3 linked regions of the Macaca fascicularis genome follow. The protein of the gene in region 1 binds, or shares a complex with, the protein of each later gene. Links are inferred from orthologs where the notes say so. Each region holds a gene or a part of one and is shown in the gene's direction. Other genes may lie near its edges.

What was found. The genes of interacting proteins can lie anywhere in the genome.
Region 2: the proteins of PARP1 (region 1) and SMYD2 are in contact, whole or in part, in a crystal structure (PDB 9CKC), measured with the Homo sapiens proteins. The link is inferred for Macaca fascicularis from reciprocal best matches to the Homo sapiens genes PARP1 and SMYD2. Residues at the interface, in NP_001609.2 of Homo sapiens: Thr526, Leu527, Lys528, Gly529, Gly530, Ala531; in NP_064582.2 of Homo sapiens: Thr105, Leu108, Val179, Asn180, Cys181, Asn182, Gly183, Phe184, Thr185, Glu187, Leu191, Ser196, Ala203, Met205, Tyr240, Ile241, Asp242, Ser257, Tyr258, Asn380.
Region 3: the proteins of PARP1 (region 1) and HPF1 are in contact, whole or in part, in a crystal structure (PDB 6M3I), measured with the Homo sapiens proteins. The link is inferred for Macaca fascicularis from reciprocal best matches to the Homo sapiens genes PARP1 and HPF1. Residues at the interface, in NP_001609.2 of Homo sapiens: Thr825, His826, Asn827, Ala828, Arg865, Met890, Lys903, Asn906, Tyr907, His909, Ser911, Gln912, Gly913, His934, Lys953, Ser983, Leu984, Leu985, Tyr986, Glu988, Thr1011, Ser1012, Leu1013, Trp1014; in NP_060337.2 of Homo sapiens: Asn234, Val236, Asp261, Arg264, Leu265, Phe268, Gln272, Glu273, Thr276, Phe277, Gln279, Phe280, Asn282, Asp283, Glu284, Cys285, Tyr287, Tyr304, Lys307, Val308, Gln311, Leu315, Leu319.

Annotation. Positions count from the first base shown.
Region 1 is NC_088375.1:84,321,720-84,326,253, reverse strand, and holds the start of PARP1 (poly [ADP-ribose] polymerase 1), read left to right. Parts: upstream 1-1,510; 5' UTR 1,511-1,678; coding exon 1,679-1,798; intron 1,799-4,534. UniProt on the Homo sapiens protein: Poly-ADP-ribosyltransferase that mediates poly-ADP-ribosylation of proteins and plays a key role in DNA repair.
Region 2 is NC_088375.1:72,100,858-72,104,686, forward strand, and holds part of SMYD2 (N-lysine methyltransferase SMYD2), read left to right. Parts: coding exon 1-77; intron 78-2,853; coding exon 2,854-2,914; intron 2,915-3,632; coding exon 3,633-3,757; intron 3,758-3,829. UniProt on the Homo sapiens protein: Protein-lysine N-methyltransferase that methylates both histones and non-histone proteins, including p53/TP53 and RB1. Specifically trimethylates histone H3 'Lys-4' (H3K4me3) in vivo. The activity requires interaction with HSP90alpha.
Region 3 is NC_088379.1:174,548,986-174,552,814, reverse strand, and holds part of HPF1 (histone PARylation factor 1), read left to right. Parts: intron 1-1,458; coding exon 1,459-1,618; intron 1,619-3,829. UniProt on the Homo sapiens protein: Cofactor for serine ADP-ribosylation that confers serine specificity on PARP1 and PARP2 and plays a key role in DNA damage response.

The DNA of each region.
Region 1 (4,534 bases):
GCCTCAGCCTCCCAAGTAGCTGGGACTACAGGCGCCCGCCACCTCGCCCGGCTAGTTTTTTGTATTTTTTAGTAGAGACGGGGTTTCACCGTGTTAACCAGGATGGTCTCGATCTCCCGACCTCGTGATCCGCCCGTCTCGGCCTCCCAAAGTGCTGGGATTACAGGCTTGAGCCACCGCGCCCGGCAACATACTTATCTCTTAAGCTACTAGCTTCTTCTCTATGGTTAACACTTTTTATGAGTTTTATTCATCCACTTATTTTTCTTATCCTCTACACCAGAATTGAATATTTTCAAATGCAGCACACTCATGTTACAATCTTTGAAATGAAAAAAAAAAAAAAGCATAGGATTAGAAAAGAAACCAATTTTAATCAACTGTATTTTAAAGTATAGTTCCATATTAAACAACATGATCTAGGCCAGCTGCAGTGGCTCATCCCTGTAATCCCAGCACTTTGGGAGGCCAAGGTAGGAGGATTGCTTGAGGCCAGGGGTTCAAGACCAGCCTGGGCAACATGGAGAGATGCCCCATCTCTTTCTTTATACACACACACAGAGAGAGAGAGAGAGAGAGAAAATATCTGGTAGCAACAGGTCTAGTCATTACCACAATTTTGAGTAGTGATGAGCTTAATAATATTTTGAGTTATCACCAAAATAACTGTAAAGTAACATGAAAACATCTGTGATGACTATTGCCCACAAAGTCACAGGTACTTCTAATACTCCTGGGATTTGTAGTCAAATTCATAATAAAGGAAATGCTAGGTTTCAGTTGGTATTTTGTCCCGACGGTGTATGGATGGCAGGTTGGAATGCCCGTCCAAGCCAGGGGGGTTGACCTAACACTGCAGGGTCCACCTAGGGCCGATCAACTATATTCCCTAGGGGGGCCTGCTATTCCCGGACCCAGCTGCCCTCAGGGGAGAGAGGACACACTTATAAAAAGAGTTTGGGGCTGGCTTGGTAGTTCACTCCTGTGACCCCAGCACTTTAGAAGGCTGAGGCTCGAAGATCACTTATAGCCAGGAGTTTGAGACCAGTCTAGCCAACTTGGCGAGACTCTATCCCTAAAAAAACAATTTTTTTTTTTTATTAGCCAGTTGTGGTGGTGCACGCCTGTAGTCCCAGCTACTTGGGAGGCTGAGGTGGGAGGATCGCTGGGCTCAGGAGTTCCAGACTGCAGTGAGCCATGATCGCGCCGCTGCACTCCAGCGCAGTGAGACTCAGTCTCAAAAATAAAAGGTGGAGGGGTTGGGGGTATAATTAGTTATGAAAACAGGTAAGACTTCCTGGGACAGAACGATCAAAGGGGTGGCGCCGGGTCCTCCAAAGAGCTACTAGCTCAGTCCAAGCCCCGCCTCGGCCCACAGGGTAGCGGGCCGTAGAGCTCCACCCGCAGGAGCCCGGGAAACTCCGCCCCCCGGCCGGCAGGGGGCGCGAGCGCCGCAGGCCCCGCCCCGTGGACGTGGGCTCCGTGGGCGTTTCCGCTGCCAGGCATCAGCAATCTATCGGGGAACCGCGGTGGCCGGTGCGGTGTGCTCGGTGGCGGCTCTGGACGCTCAGGCGCCTGCGGCTGGGTGAGCGCACGCGGGGCGGCTAGGCGGCGAGGCGGCGGCGTGTTTCCAGGTCGTGGCGTCGGGCTCCCGGAGCTTTGGCTGCAGCTAGGGGAGATGGCGGAGTCTTCGGATAAGCTCTACCGAGTCGAGTACGCCAAGAGCGGGCGCGCCTCTTGCAAGAAATGCAGCGAGAGCATCCCCAAGGACTCGCTCCGGATGGCCATCATGGTGCAGGTGCGGGCCGCTGTGCGGGCGGCGGGGCGGGTACGCGGCGCCCCGGGTTAACTGTGTCCGGGAAGGCTCGGGGAGTGCGGGCCCGGGGAGCGAGCGGACCTGGGCTCTCGGAACGGCACTTAGGGCCTGTGGGGCCGTGGCCGCCTCTCCTCCGCCGAGCGGCCCGGCCGACCCTTCCGGAAGGTTTTGCTGATGTTGCAGGAAAAGCCCGGGAAATACAGTCTGCAGCTGGTGCTGCCTTTCGCTTTGTGTAAACGAGAAGCCGCTTCTCTCCTCCTTTCTTGGTGGTGGTGTTTTATTATTGCCGTTCGCCTCAGGGATTGGGGGTGGGGGGGAATTGTACATGGTCTCTTTAAGCTAATCTGATTTTGACCTATCTTGTTCTGGAAGATTTTTGTCCTACGTGGATGGTGGCGACTGGCATGTGGGGATTTTTTTTTTTTAACCTATTTTTGGCCGTCATTTCAACACGTCATTTTAACGCTCACCCTCATTTTTCATTTTAATTAGGCAAAACTATGCAGAGAGGTGTCATTTCTGTACAGTGCATTCACTTTGAGCCTAATCTGTGCTTTAAAATAACATTTTCCCCAAATTTTCCAGGTTCACAGACGCGTTCTCGGTGCACTTGCAGCTGTCTGGTTTGAGTAAGAGTGGCTCCAGGGGGGTTTCTCATGTGGGCTTTTTGATAGATTGAGGATCGATCCCCTTTTGAGATTTCCTGAGGCTTCTGTGAGGTGGTGGGCTTGAAGGCCCCTGTCATTTCCCAGGGGCTCCTGCCTCCAGCTTCCAGTTTGCTGATGTCTGCCTTTGTATGAATAATTCTGGTTCTCACCTGCCCTGTTCCTCCTCGCTTCCAACACATTACCCAAGCTTAGTGCTCATGGTCAAGGTAGCTTGATTTTCCTCCCTACCATGAGCTGTAATGTGTTTTAGGAATGACCAGATAGCCCTCAGTGGATTTTCAGGACTTAAAGAGTACAAGGGAGGGCGACATTTACCGAGTGGATACCCAAGTGCCAGGTGTACTTCCGTTATCTTATTTCACAATATGTCTGTCATCTCGGTGTCCTTGGGGCATACCTAAGTCAGTACGTGGCACACAGTGCTTATTTGGTAGATATTTGTTAAGTTCTAAGCACTCTGTTAGGTTTTAAGGACACAGAATCCACCTTTGGGAATTTCCAGTTTGGTTAAACGGGAATTGACTGGTAAACAAACATTGCCGTACAGAGGGGATGGATGCCACCTGATGGAACTGTGCTCCAGGCATTGTGTGCCTAGGAGTCCAAGATGACCCACCTTAGGGTGGAAGGTTGATTAGGAGTCGTTAATTCACAGAAGTGGAGCAGAAAGATGAGGATAGGGAAGTAGACAGGGCCTACAATTTGAAGAGCCGTGTTTCCCACTAAGGAACCTAGAACTTACCTTAAATATATAAGGCAGCCTGTTCTAATGAAGTTCTCACTCCTGGTGCAGGAGCTCTTAACCCCAGGGTCCGTAGGATGGTAGATAGAATGCAAGAGGTCCATGGGTTTAGATAAGAAAAAATTGATATCTCCATCTCCACTAACCTATAGATAAAATTCATTATTTCCTCTAATCATAAATGTAAGCAGCAAAGCAAAGGCATATTAGCAGTCCCTATGATTTTTTTCACCAGCGGTAATTACAGATATTTTCACTTTACAGTTGGGAGTTTCTCAAAATATAATTTACTCTCATTGCTATAAAAATCACAGTTGTTAGAGGCAGTACTAGATCTTGTTATTTAAAACTTTGAAGCTCACGGGTTACTGTACGCAAATTACCTTTCAAATGTTTTGATAATTATTTGAGTATGTTTCCTTTTTGAACTTTTTTGTTTTGTTTTTTGAGATGGGGTCTCACTATGTTGCCCAGGCTGGTCTCAAACTCCTCAGCTCAAGTGATCCACCCACCTTAGCCCTGTAAAGTGCTAGGATTACAGGCGTGAGCCACCATGACTGACCATTTGCGAGCCTTTTTATTATGCATTTTTAAATGTTATTCCGAGAAAGGGACATCCACGGGCCGTAACAGGTGGGCAGAGTACCGTGTTCTAGTGGAAAGACAGAAAACCCAAGTTCAGGCAGTGTGTTGAGGCTAGAACAACACCGCTGTGGAGGAAGTTAGAGGAGGCTTAGTTAGCTGTTGGGGAGGCAGGATGGAGGAAGCTGAACCTGATCAAGTTTAACATTCTGGGGCCAGGCTCGGTGGCACACGCTTGTAATCTCAGCGCTTTGGGATGCTTGGGTGGGCAGATCACTTAAGCTCAGCGGTTCAAGACCAACCTGGCCAACATGCTGAAACCTCATCTCTACAAAAAAAATGCAGTGATTAGCGGGGCGTGGTGGTTCATGCCTTTATGTCCCAGCTACTCTGGAGGCTGAAGCTGGAAGATTGCTTGAGCCTGGGAGGTGGAGGTTGCAGCGAACCGAGATAATGCCACTGTACTCCAGCCTGGGCGACAGACCCAGACCCTGTCTGAAAAAAAATAAATAGTAATAACAACATTCTGGGCTTTCCTTTGGCATACTTGATAGTGAAAGAAACTCTTTATTATTAAAAGTAACTGATTTTTCTGTAATTGTGATTGAGGGTGGATTCAGAGTTTTAATTCAGAATTTAAAGTTGGTCTGGTAGGCTGAGCTGGTGAAGACCAAAAGGAAAGAAGCCTTTTCACTTGCTTGAATTTAAATACCTTCTTTTGCATTT
Region 2 (3,829 bases), about 12 Mb from region 1:
CTCCCATGGTTGTTTTTGGGGAAAACTGGAATCCCTCAGAGACTGTAAGACTAACAGCAAGGATTCTGGCCAAACAGGTGAGGAAATGGGACAGTGTTCAAGTGCATTTTATTTTTTTTTAAAGGTCAGAAAGATGAGTAACTGACCTTTGGTAACCATCTCTCGTTAAACATCCTTAGACCCCATTTCCTATCATATCCATATGGACAAGGGTGGGGAAAATACTCCAGGCATAATCTGGTTCGTTGTGTGCCCTGTGCTCACCCCAGACCAGGAGCATAGCCACAGCTCTGAAATTCTGAGCTGTTTTCATGACAGGTTTACATAGAAATATATGACATGAAAAGCCTGACCCCAAATAATTAGAGCTTCCTAGGGAAGCAGATTGGTCTGAGCAGCTTTGAGATTTTCCCCTGTCCATTGTGACATAAAGAGTGTACTCTGTTCCCCTGTCCTGTGCAATATTCTGCTGTTTCTTGGCTCCTTTCTTGCCTGTGCATAGGCAGACAAAGAATTGGATGGAGCAGCCACGTGGCTGTGCAAAGAAGAGAAAGAGTGGAAAAGTAGAAATAGAGGCAAGAGAGAGGGGAAGAGAGTTAAAAAAAAAAAAAAAGTGAAGAAGGAGGAAAGAAAGAGGCGCCCTTGATGGAAACAGATGATAGTCATCAATGGCTTTCTCCAGAGGTGGTGCCAACTCTGACTATTCAGAGTCAGAATAGTCAGACTATCGGCCTGGTGGGCACAGGCCTGGTGGGCAGGCCTTTGCAAACTTACCCTCAAAGACTAAGGAAGCTGAGAGACAGAAGAAAGAAGCTGACAAATCCAGTTTATTAGAAACACTTACTAGGACTTATGAACTGAAGCCATGTTTATGTCTTGGGCATCTATGTCTATGTCTTTAGGCTTAGAAGGCCTAAATCCAGGCTGTGGAGGTCTTGCTCCTCAGTGTTGTCAGAGAAGTTGGTGGCAGGGCCTCTGGACTAAATCTTTTAAAGCTGAAATTTCATCTGGGCAGGCATAGTAGCTCATACCTGTAATCTTAGCACTTTGGGAGGCTAAGGCAGCAGGATTGTTTGAATCCAGGAGTTGGAGACCAGCCTTGGCAACAAAGTGAGACCCATAAATTTTAAAAATTAAAAAAATTTCCCAGGCGTGGTGGTATACACCTGTGGTCCCAGCTATTCTGGAGGCTGAGGCAGGAGAATTGCTTGAACCCGGAACTTCAAGGCTGCAGTGAGCTGTGATTGTGCCACCGTACTCCAACCTGAGCAACAAAGTAAATGAGATGGAAAAAACAAAACTGAAATTTCATCTACCTCTTCCATATACCTACCAGCCCTCCTCTACCCTTAAAATTTTTCTATTTTTTAATCTAAGCCAAATGTGATGGAAAGGATTAGCATGTATCTGTCCCCAGACCAGGTTAGGATCCTGGGCTGTGTAAACAGAAGTAGAACATTTCCAAACTCTGAGGTCATCTTTCCACTATGTTCAGCTTAGGTCAGGTGCTTGCTGAAATGCTGCCTCGCCAGCTGAGAGTATCCAAAGCCATTCATGGGTTGCCTGTAAAGTGAGACCAAAGCATCAGAATTCTTTCCCTGCAGGAGGTTAACTTTCGGATCCTTAATAACAGTTATCTTTAAATTTATGCAGAGTATTTGGGCTGAATGAGTCAGAGGGAATAGGATGACTGGGTGAGGCATCAGAGCTAGTAAGTCATCAGATGGGATCTCTGCGCATCTTGGGAGGATGGGGTGGCCAAGCCAGTGTTTTATTATTTTCTTCCCCTGAATTATTGATGATATGTATAGTGATATTTTAAGAATTCAGAAGAGGCTGGTAGACTTTCCTGAATGAAAAGCTTTCCCAAGAGAGATGACTTATAAATCTTATGAAAATGCATTCCGTGAATGGAAGATTTCTGCTCTAAAAAAGAACTATTGAGATATTTCGGCACCAGGAGGGTAGTCTGAATGCAAAGATGAGTTTATACAAGCTTCATTCAACTTTTATTATAATTACTACTACTACTAATAGTGTATTAAATGAAAGTTACCTGCCCATCTTTTCATCTCTATAGGACTTGATGATTAAAAAAACAGACCATTTGTATTCTAGTAGCTTGCAAAGGATTAGGGGAGACAGGCTACCAAACTACCAAGGGGAGGCTTAACATGTTAACTAGGGAGGTGAGCGTGCCCTGCTAGACCACCTGTATCCCCAAATTGAATAGCCAGATTACAAAGACACGGCCTTGGGCCAGCTCCTGAGCTCTGCCTTTGAACTCTTGTCAACACCAAGTTTATTCATGTTCTCAAAGCCTAGCGGGTTTACTATTGTTAGCTCCTCTTGGGGTGTCTAGAACAAAGCCAGCAACACGTTTAAAGTGAATCTGGGCTCACAGATACAACCAAAAGTGTTCTTTTTGAAACACAGAATTTGAGATCATTTTAGCCTATGCTTAAAGAAAGTGTAAAATGGATGGGGGGTTTGATTTTGTTCCTTTTTAGAAGGCGAAATAATAAATAGGATGGTTTGTCTGTAGACCCAGTCCTTTTAAGTAAAGACCCTAAAAAGTTGTTGTCCGGCCCTGTTCTTTCCCATAACAGGCATTTCTGAGCCTACTGTGTGCATAGTATTATCAGGGTGTTAGGTACGCAGTAGACATTTTAAAAAGCACTTTAGAAGAGTCTTTGGATTTGGTTGTTGGAGAGCCCTGGTGGTGGAGTCCTTGGGTGCCCGTTTTACTTCCTTAAGAATTGTTACTTTTTCTTTATGTTGATGTAAAAGTGAAAGTGCCACTTTCTACACTGGTTGTTAAAAAATCTGTATGATGTCTTCCCCAATTGCTAGAAAATCCACCCAGAGAGAACACCTTCGGAAAAATTGTTAGCCGTGAAGGAGTTTGAATCACGTAAGTCTTTCTGTGACCAGCCATGCAGTTCTCTCAGCCACAGGTTTCACATGGGTTCGGCAGGATTGAAGCGAGGACGGCCTAGCCTGTGCTCAGAGGAGTAGTGATTTCTTTCATTACTAGTTTTTATTTTGACTTTTGTGCTGTTTTGAAAAGCACTTTTAGCTTTTTCCTTCTGAGTTGACAGGATTGTTAGGAAATAATTAAAGGAGGTAGGAGCTCCCAAGAGGAATTATTGCACCCTGAGTTACCTCCTGCTGGCCCTCTTGGCATGCTGAATATTTTTGGATCTTTGCTGAATTGCAGTCCTGTAAATAGCTGATGTTTTTACTGAAAGCCATGAAATCAGGGGTTGTCCAGTTGTTTGACTGTGGCCCAGATTCCTGGGCCAATTGGGAGGCCCTTGACTAGGCTGAAGCTGTTTATGAGTCATGGCTACTCATCCCTGACCTTGTCACTAACAGTCAGTTGAAATCTCATGTCCTGAGTGACTTCTAGTCATCAGAGGGAGAGGAAGAAGAAATGGCTTGCTTTCTTTCCCTAGGGTTTGTCAGTTAAACCAAGTGATGGGGAAGAATGTTCTCTGGGGGTTCAACATGTTAGTTTTGGGGTTTTTTTTCGCCCTTTCCTTTCTCTATATCATTTACAGCAACAATAGGATGTAGCTAGAAATCCTGTGTTTTCTACCAGGTGAGAATAATGGATTATTTATCCACAGATCTGGATAAGTTAGACAATGAGAAGAAGGATTTGATTCAGAGTGACATTGCTGCTCTCCATCACTTTTACTCCAAGCATCTCGAATTCCCCGACAATGATAGCCTCGTAGTACTCTTTGCACAGGTAAGGATGCCGACAGCAGGTAACACTCAGTCTGGCCTTTCCCTCTCCAGGCACCTCTCCCCAGCACGCACT
Region 3 (3,829 bases), on another chromosome or scaffold:
TCAGACTACTGGAAAAATACAAGAATATAAATATGAGAATCATCTAGCTCAGAATTTCTCAACTTGAGCACTGTTGACATTTGGGGCCAGTAGTCCTGGTGGAGGATGCCTATCCTGGGCATTGTAGGATGTGGAGCATACCTGGCCTCTGCCCCACTAGCACCCTTCTTCCGACTGGTGACAACTAAATAGGTCTCCAAATGTCCCCTGGGGGGCAAAATCACCACCGGTTGAGAACCACTGCTCTAGGTAGGAAAGGAAAGAACTCAATCCAAAAAGAAAGAATCTAGGTTCATAGAAAGAAAAACAGATTGCTTCTTAGTAAACTAACCATACATAACCTCCCATTAAGCATATTGTCTTTACAGAAATTTATCAAATATCTAGTAGGCATTATAAAACCTAGCATACTTATGTAATGAACCTATACTGTGGGAGTCCTAGAGATGAGTATTGTAACTTAATCCTGGCATTTAAAGGCCTTTTCTGAAATAATTGGATTTTTGGCCTAGAGTTTAGTGCTATTCTGCTAGCTTTGTTAGGAACTGTGTATGTTTAACATTGTCACTAACTTTCCCTCTTTATTTGGAAAATCAAAAGGAGGTATCTGTTTTTAAGGCTGGGTAATGAATAGCTCAGATACAACTCTGGATGTTGCTGAAGAAACAGCCTTTTTTTTTTTTTTTTTTTTTTAATTATACTTTAAGTTCTAGGGTACATGTGCACAATGTGCAGGTTTGTTACGTATGTATACATGTGCCATGTTGGTGTGCTGCACCTATTAACTCATCATTTACATTAGGTATATCTCCTACTGCTATCCCTCCCTCCTCCCCCCACCCCACGACAGGCCCCGGTGTATGATGTTCCCCACCCTGTGTCCAAGTGTTCTCATTGTTCAGTTCCCACCTATGAGTGAGAACATGCTGTGTTTGGTTTTTTTTTCCTTGCGATAGTTTGCTGAGAATGATGGTTTCCAGCTTCATCCATGTCCCTACAAAAGATGTGAACTCATCCTTTTTTATGGAGAAACAGCTTTTTAACTGATGAATTGCTTATATCCAGTTACTTCTGACTGTTTCTGGTGTGATCAATGAATCTGTTTAAAAGACTCACACCTTTAACCAAAAGAGGGAAAAATTCTTTATTCCTCTCTTCCTACTCTTTATTTCTTTTTTTTTTTTGCCTTTTTGGTTTTTGTGGTTTCCATTATCTTACAAAAATATATTTAAGGACTTGCTGTGTGGATTCCTCTTAACCACCATATAAACTACTCTTTTTTCCTGTGCCCAAATGAATTCCCAGATTTTACTCAAATACCGTTTAGAGAGTTTTGAGGAAAACACATGTATTTCATAGAGCTGGGTGAACAAGAGTGAGTGATACTGTTATGCAAGGAGAGTTACTGAAATTACTAAAGATAATTTGGAGAACTAAAGTTTGTGTGCTAATTTTCAGTGTGAAAAAACAGTTGATGAGAAGAAAAGTAAATTCTGTGAAGCTGATGTCTCCAGTGACCTTCGAAAAGAAATAGAAAATCATTATAAGCTTTCTTTACCTGAAGATTTCTATCACTTCTGGAAGTTCTGTGAAGAACTTGATCCTGAAAAGCCATCTGGTGAGTTGCTCCAGAATCATTCTTGTATTCATGGAAAAGGTAATGTAATAGGAAACGAGCTGGGTGTGGTAGCTCACACTCTGTAATCCCAGCTGAGGGAGGGGGATCGCCTGAGGCCAGGAGTTTGAGACCAACCTGGTCAACATAGTGAGACCTCTTCTCTAGAAAAAATTAAAAAAAAAAAAAAAAAAGCTATGCATGGTTGCATGTGCCTATAGTCTCAGCTACTTGGGAGACTGAGATGGAAGGATCCCTCCTTAAGCCCAGTAGTTCGAGGTTGCAGTGAGCTCTGATCACTCCAGCCTCAGTGACAGAGCAAGACTCCGTCTCTAAAACATACAATAATTGCCCAGGCATGGTGGCTTATGCCTGTAACCCCAGCACTTTGGGAGGCCGAAGCAGGGAGATCACTTGAGGTCAGGAATTTGAGAGCATCCTGGGCAACACAGTGAAACCCTGTCTCTACTGAAAATACAAAACTTAGGTGGACATGGTGGCGCACACCTGTAGTCCCAGCTACTTGGGAGGGTGAGGCATGATCATTGCTTGAACCTGGGAGGTAGAGGCTTCAATGAGCCAAGATTGCGCCACTGCACTCCAACCTGGGTGACAGAGCGCAAGACCTTGTCTCAAAAAAAAAAAAAAAAAAACCTAACCAAGGATATAAACTGTTCATAGAAAAGGAATATTTTCCAAGATATTTCTGGTAAGAGAAAATATAGAAAGAAATATAGATTAATGCTGTAGTAATGCCACTGTCACCTATTTTTTTGGCAAAGGTAAATTCATTACATTCTGGGGGAATGTGAAGGAAAGCAAGCTCTTTCTTATGTTGCAGGAGTTATAACAGTTCTGCTTCCAAGCACTTCTCTTATGGATTACATAAACTAAGAATTTTGTGTGAGGATGTTTACTTACACAAAAAATGGGAAATGGCTTAAATGCCTACCAATACCACATCTCTTCAGTAGATCATTCATTGCTTTTAAGCATGAAGCAGATTTTTAGGAAACAATAAACTATCATGCATGAAATAAGTGGAAAAGAAGAGTGTATAGAATATGCTACCATTAGTATATTTTTTAAAACGGGAGGGTGGGGAGAGGGAGTACACACATATCCCTGTGTACTTTTCTGTGTGCTTATTTTGTCTCTGAAGGGATAAAGAAACTGTTAATGGGCTGTGATCATTACTTCGCACAATACTATTTAAATTTTTTAACTAGTAAGCACTGTCATACACCATTGATGGAAATGTATATTGATACATATGCTGAATTTTGCCAGTAGATCAAAACAGAACTGTGTAGTTGTTTCTTTAAAAATAGTCATACCTGTATACAAACATTTATTAGCAAAGATGTTCACTGAAACATTTTAGAACAAAAAAAAGAAATAGTAAATATCCCTCAGTAAGAGAATAGATGGTTACCTCTTTATAATGCAGTATCATGCCCTATTAAAAAATCACGTAAAATAACATTGAATAGCATGGAAAAATATTCAGAAAATTTAAATGGGACAGGATGGAGGACAAAAGCAGATTACAAAACAACCCTCAGTTTGTTCCAGATTTGTATCTGTTCATGGGGGTGGCGAGTGTGGAAATTTGTTACTGTATAATAGACTATTAACTGTTATCTTTGGCTAATGAGATGGACAGTTTTAGTTTTCTTAATGCTTTAAAAATTAGTGTATGCTCTCCTAAGCTCTAGTTCAGCTGAACTATTTTTCCTGTCAAATTATCTCCATGCTTCTATTCATGTTATTACCTCTCCCAGGAATTTTTTTGCTTTCTTCATCCTTGCCTCCTTATAAAACTGGGTCCTGCCTGGAGTGCTCCCCTCCGTCTTAGAAGCAAGGACCCATTTGAGGTTATGCATTGTACATTTGCACAGACTTCATGTTTTTGTGGTTTGTGAACACTCCCTGTCTGTGATCTGTGAATAGAAAAGGAAGACGGAATCATCCAGGGTTAGGGTTGGCCAAATAGATTGTCAAAGAGTCAGGGGAATCTGGTGTGATTACCTAAGGTAGAGGAAAGGGGATAGAAATGTTTTTTTACTTATTTATTTATTTATTTTTTGAGACAGAGTCTCACCCTGTCACCCAGGCTGGAGTGCAATGGCGCTATCTCATTTCACTGCAACCTCCACCTCCAGGGTTCAAGTGACTCTTGTACCTCAGCCTCCCCAGTAGCTGGGATTACAG